Oryctolagus cuniculus: one gene and its partner. The protein of the gene in region 2 interacts with the protein of the main gene of each other region in a pairwise test. Links are inferred from orthologs where the notes say so. Each region holds a gene or a part of one and is shown on either strand. Other genes may lie near its edges.

What was found.
Region 1: the proteins of MCM3AP (region 2) and MCM3 interact in a two-hybrid assay, tested with the Homo sapiens proteins (2 studies listed by BioGRID). The link is inferred for Oryctolagus cuniculus from reciprocal best matches to the Homo sapiens genes MCM3AP and MCM3.

What each region holds. Positions count from the first base shown.
Region 1 is NC_091436.1:117,747,290-117,751,103, reverse strand, and holds part of MCM3 (DNA replication licensing factor MCM3), read right to left. Parts: intron 2,471-3,814; coding exon 2,296-2,470; intron 1,932-2,295; coding exon 1,805-1,931; intron 1,004-1,804; coding exon 853-1,003; intron 1-852. UniProt on the Homo sapiens protein: Acts as a component of the MCM2-7 complex (MCM complex) which is the replicative helicase essential for 'once per cell cycle' DNA replication initiation and elongation in eukaryotic cells.
Region 2 is NC_091435.1:642,967-646,780, reverse strand, and holds part of MCM3AP (germinal-center associated nuclear protein), read right to left. Parts: intron 1,320-3,814; coding exon 1,172-1,319; intron 1-1,171.

The DNA of each region.
Region 1 (3,814 bases), on a different chromosome or scaffold from region 2:
GAGTACAAGATCTGGGGTCATATCTAAGTTCCCAGAGTTCATGTCAGTGTCACATAAGCAGGGTTTTGAACTTGAGAGTCTTCCTGCTGTGATAATCTGCATGAACACCACTAACCTCAAAAGATTTAAATTTAAGGGCAGCGGTGTTAGGTTACTAGAGATCACTTTGGACAACAAGCATGCTTGCTCAACTCCTATTTGTCAAAGTCCAGCTTGAGCTTTACACTCTGCAAATCCTTCCTTCACATGCACACTCCCTCAGGGAAGTCTAAAGGAAAATATAGTTCTTTCTTTTTCTGTATTCTGTCTTTCACACTTGTTCCTTTGTACATGCCACCATGAGATAGTCATTTATAAATATGTATATGTGTTTTTCGTGATTACTTTTCAAAAAACAGTCATTCAATTGAAAAGCACAATGACAGAGAGAGGAAGAGACAGAGACACACAGAGCAAGGGATCATCCATCTGCTGTTTCCCACCCCAAATGCTTCCAAAAGCCAGGGTTGAGTCAGGCTGAAGCCAGGAGCCAGAAACTCCACAGAGGTCTCACAGGCTGGATGGCAGGAACCCAGGTACTTGGGTCATCATTCACTGCCTCCCAGGTGCATTAGCCAGAAGCTAGATCAGAAGCATAGAGTAGCCAGGACTTAAACCAGCCACTCCTAAATGGGGTCCTTATTCTATTTCACCTTGGAAAAGGAAATGACTAGAATTGTTCAACAGGATACCTTTTGGACAAGGAAGGAATTAAAACTAAAATGCTTTCAAAGATCCCAGGCAGCAGGGACTCCTGCCCTAGCTACAGAAGACCAAGGGACTCGCCGGTTCCATCCCCACTGGGGCACTCACCCTGGCAGTGTCTGAGCTCATGCTGTCCTGGCTGCGCAGACGCGAGTACTCCTCTGCAATGTAGGCAGCCGACTCCTGCGTCAGGACAGGCTTAATGATCTTGGCCACATGGATGTACTTCCTCATGAATGCTGCACTCACCATCTTCTCCCTGGAACCCCACACAGTGAATTCCACTTCCCTTCCACACCTTACTACCTGTCTGGCAGACTGCCTTCTGTCTCCTCAGAGAAGGCAAGGTCAAATGGTAGAGCAGAGATGGAGCCTAGAACCCATTATTATAACACCCATTTATTAGAAACATATAGTAGGTCCTTTCACTCAAGTCTATTCAACAATTTTTAGGTTTACCTGTGAGTTAATAGGAAGTTAAGTATTTTTTCCTCTATTTTATAGGATAAACTGTAACTCAGATGCTAAAGTAGACTCAAATTCAGTTTTGACTCCAAATTTGATATTCTTAAGCCAACAGTTTTGAATATCTTGCTTTGATTCTTATTGTACCATAGACAAAAACGGAAGCACGGGATCCCACATTTCATTCTCTGACCACTGAAAAATAAGACTACAAGTCTATTTGCAAAATGTCTAATGTTTGCTATGTACTGACCCTTTACCATAAATTCACCACAAATGGCTCCAAGACATGTGCAACTTTCCATGTACAAGGAAGACATATTCCTACCATTAATTGAGCATGTTGTCAAATGTATTTTAGGAAAAGATCTGAACCTGGGCTGAACCACCCAAGCATTTACAAGACAACTGGCCAAGATAAAGACTGTATCTGTGGACCCAGACAAGAAGAAAATCAGCCCCCATGACTGTGACTGCAAGCATGACCTTGGCCTAGCCTCTTAATGCCCTTACTAAGCTCAGCTGCACATGTGTTCTAACACAACATAAGGCAAATCTCACACTCCTTCGTGGGAGAGGCATGAAGGATACTCACTTTTTCTTCTTGGTCCCATGGAGGAGGTTGTCATGCTTCTCATAAATCTGAGTGTCCTGCTGGTCATCCTGGTTGAAGTCTGGATCATCTGTGGCCAGGATATCCACAGCACTACCCAAGGGCATAGCTGGTACGCCGCAGTTGGGAGAAAAGAGAGTAAGAGTTTAACTCAGGGGAAACTGCTCCTTCTATAGCCTAGACTAAGAGTCACAAAGCCAAGGACTCAGCTACATGGAACCCACAAATAAGGAGAATGCCATTGCCTGGGGCACACAACATGCTCAGAGGAACTCCCAGACCTAGAAAAGGACCAAAGGCACAACTCAGGATAACTTCCAGTGAGCAAACAGGGAGGTGGCTGGGTAGGTGAGGGCATCTTTAACATCACCCCAGACACTGAAACACCCACCACCACCTGGGCTGACGCAGAGATAATAATGCCTATTTGTGATTCCTTTCATCAGTCACTCTAACTCCTCTCATGGCCTCACCATCGCCATCCTGCTCTCCAGGGGCTCTGTAACGGTGCATCCGAAGGACATGATCTGAGATCTCCCGATCCTGCTCAGGATCCATCTGATCCAGCATGATGAAGAGCAAGTCAAATCGGGACAGCAGTGAGTCCTGTAGCCCAATGTTTTCCATTGGGGTCTTATATTGATCATACTGGGAAATACAAGAAAAAGTGATGTGGAGACAATATTAGCAGGAAGAAAACACAAAACCAGATTAATTATGGAAGCAGGAATAGAAGGCCAAGTCTTGAAGGAACACATAGGTAAGAAGCTATGAAAAAGTGAAGCATTTTAAAACTAAATTTGGGTCAAATAGCATTGCAAGTTAAACCACCACCTGGGATACCCACATTCCATATCAGAGTGCCTGGAAGTCAATCCTGCCTCCTCTTCCAACCCAGCCTTCTGCTAATGTGCACTCTAGAAGGCAGCAGATGATGGCCTGAGTACTTACGGTCCTACCAGCCACATGAAAGATGAAGATGGAGTTCCTGGCTCCTGGCTTCAGCCTGACACAGCACTGACAATTGTGAATATTTGAGGAGTGAATGGATGGAAATTTCTCTTGCTCTATCACCTTGCCCTTCAAATAAATAAACTTTGAAAAAAGACAAAAACAGTGAAAGAGAGAGAAAGGTCTTCCTTCCTTTGGTTCACCCCTCAAATGGCCGCCACAGCTGGAGCTACGCCAATCCGAAGCCAGGAGCCAGGTGCTTCTTCTTGGTCTCCCATGAAGTGCAGGTGCCCATGCACTTGGGCCATCCTCCACTGCCTTCCCGGGCCACAGCAGAGGGCTGGACTGGAAGAGGAGCAACCCGGACTAGAACCCGGCACCCATATGGGATGCCGGTGCTGCAGGCGGAGGATGAACCTAGTGAGCCATGGCACCAGCCCCCAAAAAGATAATTTTTAACAAGGAGATATATTTTCTGGCACATGCTTAAATTTTTTCTGAAACACTCCACACCTGTACTAATTACCTCTTAGGAAAGAGGTAGCAGACGGAAGGATTTCAATATTCATATTATATCTACTTAGAAATTCGCCTGCTATGAGCATGTAGTACTTTTGTTTTAATGACTACTCAGGTTATCTGAATTGTGAGACTGCAAATCAGTTTTGTTTTCTTCTTTGTACTTTCTTAAAATTATTTTTTAAAGATTTATATATTTTACTTGAACGTCACAGTTACACAGAGAGAAGGAGAGGAAGAGAGAGAGACAGACAGATAGAGGTCATCCATCCACTGGTTCACTCCCCAAATGGCTGCAACAGGCGGAGCTGTGCCAATTCAAAGCCAGGAGCCAGGAGCTTCTTCTGGGTCTCCCACATGGGTGCGGGGACCCAAAGACTTGGGCCATCTTCTACTGCTTTCCCAGGCCATAGTAGAGAGCTGGATCAGAAGTGGAGCAGCTGGCGCCCATATGGGATGTCAGCACTGCAGGTGGCAGCTTTACCCACTAAGCCACAGCGCCAGCCTCAAAATTATTTTTTA
Region 2 (3,814 bases):
ACTCTAGAAGCCAACTCTGCGTGATGCCAAGGCTATGACACAATGCTCCACAAACAGAAGCCACCTTTGTTACACCTGTCCACGCCCTTAATGTATGCCAGCACATGGTTACAGGCTTCATTCAGTTCTTTTTTTAAAACATTTATTTATTTATTTGAAAGAGTTCACTGGTTCACTCCCCAATTGGCCACAACAGCCACAGCTGCGCTGATCCAAACCCAGGAGCCAGGATCTTCTTCCGGGTCTCCCACGCGGATGCAGGGGCCCAAGGACTTGGGCCGTTTTCTATTGCTTTCCCAAGCCATAGCAGAGAGCTGGCTCGGAAGTGGAGCAGCCAGGTCTCGAACCGGTGCCTGTATGGGATGCCGCACTGCAGGCTTTACCTGCTAGGCCACAGCACTGGCCCCTCATTCAGTTAAGCATGTTTCGGGGCCAGCATTGTGGCGCAGCAGGGTAAGATGCCACCTACAACACCGGCATTCATATGGGTGTCAATTTGAGTCCTGGCTGCTCCACTTCCAATCCAGGTTCCTAATTGGCTTGGAAAACAGCAGAGGATGGCTCAACTACTTGGGCACCTGCCATCCACAAGGAAGAGCAGGATAGAGTTCTAGGCTCATGACTTCAGCATGGCCCAGTGCTGAACATTGTAGCCATCTGGAGAGTAATCAGCAGATGGAACATCTCCCCCCGGCCCCCAACCTTGCCTTTCAAAGAAATAAATCTTCTGGGGGCTGGTGCTGTGGCTTAGTAGACTAAGCCTTCGCCTGCAGCACCACATCCAATATGGGTGCTGGTTTGAGTCCAGGTTGCTCTTCTTCTGATCCAGCTCCCTACAGATAGCCGGGGGAAGCAGCAGAAGTGCTTGGGCCTCTGCACGCATGTGGGAGACCGAGAAGCTCCTGCTTCAGATCGGCCCAGCTCCATTTAGGGAGTGAACCAGCAGATGGAAGACCTTTCTCTGTGTCTCTCCCTCTCTCTCTCTGTAACTTTCCCTCTCTAATAAATAAATAAATCTTTAAAAAAAAAAAAAAAAGCCTTACAATAGTATTAAGAAATGGCATAATTCAAGTTAATACTTTACTGGTCATCATAACATCAGATGATGAATTAAGACATTACATTTTTTCCCAGCCATTTTCTGTCTTTAATGAATGTGTTCAGGGCTCACCTGTGGGCTGGTGGCTACAGTTGTTTTCACCAGAGGCTCGATAGTCTGGGGGAGAGACACTAGAGTCTGAGGGAGGTAGAGAGGAAGTGAAGGCTCTCTAAACGCTCTCGAGTCGTCAGACAACCACCGCTGAAGTTGATTTTCAAACCTGAAACAGTGATCACAAATTCAGAAACATTTGAGTATTAGGAAGCAAAAAGTGAACTGTTATGCATTTTTCTTCTATACATACTTTTTTGTAAAGATTTATTTATTTATTTGAAAGGCAGCGTTTCACAGAGAAGGAGAGGCAGAGAGAGAGAAAGGTCTTCCATCCACTGGTTCACTCCCCAAATGGCCCCAATGGCCAGAGTTGGACCGATCCAAAGCCAGGCGCTTCCTCCGGGTCTCCCATGTGGGTGCAGGGGCCCAAAAACTTGGGCCATCTTCTACTGCTTTCCCAGGCCACAGCAGAGCCGGATCAGAAGTGGAGCAGCCAGGTCTTGAACCGGTGCCCATATGGGATGCCGGGACTGTAGGCAGTGGCTTTACCAGATATGCCACAGCACCAGCCCCTTTATGTACTTTCAATTTATATATAAGCTTTTGCTTTTTACTAAGAACAGAGCTTATGACATCAACTGAGAAGCAGAAATGTACTTTTTTTTTTTTTTTTTTTGACAGGCAGAGTGGACAGTGAGAGAGAGAGACAGAGAGAAAGGTCTTCCTTTCCCATTGGTTCGCCCTCCAATGGCCGCCGCGGCCGGCGCACCGCGCTGATCCGATGGCAGGAGCCAGGTGCTTCTCCTGGTCTCCCATGGGGTGCAGGGCCCAAGCACTTGGGCCATCTTCCACTGCACTCCCTGGCCACGGCAGAGAGCTGGCCTGGAAGAGGGGCAACCGGGACAGAATCCGGCGCCCCGACTGGGACTAGAACCCAGTTTGCCGGGGCTGCAAGGCGGAGAATTAGCCTAGTGAGCTGTGGTGCCGGCTCAACAAATGTACTTTTGAAAAATTCAATATCCTCTGAATATGTAAGTCCAATTAATATTTAATGAGAAATGTGACATTGACTTTAAAAAATACATTTATATTATACTTAATAATACCTATAATTTTCTCATTTGGCATATCTCTCTATTTGACTTACTTTGGTTTTATGCACTTAGAATTAGTTTTTTTCTTTTTTTTTGATAGTTACAGACAGTGAGAGAGAGACAGAGAGAAAGGTCATCCTTCCGTTGGTTCACTCCCCAAATGGCTGCCACGACCAGTGCTGCGCCAATCTGAAGCCAGGAGCCAGGTGCTTCTTCCTGGTCTCCCATGCAGGTGCAGGGGCCCAAACACTTGGGCCATCCTCCACTTTTGCCCTCCCAGGCCACAGCAGAGAGCTGGACTGGAAGAGGAGCAACCAGGACTAGAACCCAGCGCCCATATGGGATGCCGGCGCCGCAGGCAGAAGATTAACCAAGTGAGCCACGGCGCTGGCTCAGTTTTTCTCTCTTGATGGATTATTCAAATATATGGACTGTTCACAGTTTAAAATTAACTCTACATCCTAGTGCTACCCTAACACTCTCCAGAGCTGTCTACCTTGATATACTTGTCTTTTCAAGAAAAAAATTAATCTCATCCCAAGCCACTTAAAACTCTTCAGAACTAGGTAAATACACTTTTAGAAATCATGATACATTCTTTCACTTTTTCAACACATATTTATCAAGCCTCAACCAGATGCTGGGTACCATTCTATGTACCAAAGATAACAGCACTGAAACATTCAAAACAGAAAAGACTCAGACCTACTCCGCTTGTTCTTATGGGAGACAGAAAAAGAACATATAACAGGGAAATGGCAAAGAAACCAAGGCCATTGAGACAGGAGGGACACAGAGACGAGTCAGGGGCGCCTGAGAGGCAGACAACTAAGCAGAGACCTGAAGTGAGTATGACGTCAGCCCCATGGATGCTGGGGTGGCAGGCGGAGCTGAGGAACACAGGCAAAAGGAATGGCCAACTCAAAGGGAACAGCAGACAAAGGTCTAGCCACAGGATGTCTAATGACAAGAGGTCAGAGGAGATGGCCTTGGCCATCTAAATAGAGCTTGCCTTTGAATCCAGGTGAACAAGAAGGCCACTAAAAGGCTGTACACAAAGGAATGTGACCTCTTACACTTGAGAAGCTAGGTCTGCTGAGGCAACTACAGTTACTGTAATAGTCCAGAAGCAAGATGACTGTGGCCTGAGCCAGGTGGTGGCAATGGAAGTCATAGAAATGGACCAATTCTGAATACATTTTTCATACCGCCAATAGGTTCTGTGGATAGACTGGATGTGGGGGAATGATCTGAGGCATTTCACAGGTGCACCTGGGAAAATGGCGCTGCCATCAATCAAGGAAGACCACTGGAGGAGATGGTTGAGGGGAAATCAGGAATTAGATATGGGACATGCTGACACTGTAGTGGCTATCAGACATCCAACAGATGTCTAGTGGTGATTTTAAAAAAGCAGTAGGACATTCCAGTAGAATGAATTCCAGAATTCAGAGGGCTCAGGGTTTAAGGCATAAACTGGGAAGTGTCAAAATACTGATGTGATTTAAAAATCCAGGAAACCAGATGAAGTCACCAGAGACTGAGTGCAGTAGATACAGAGGTGATA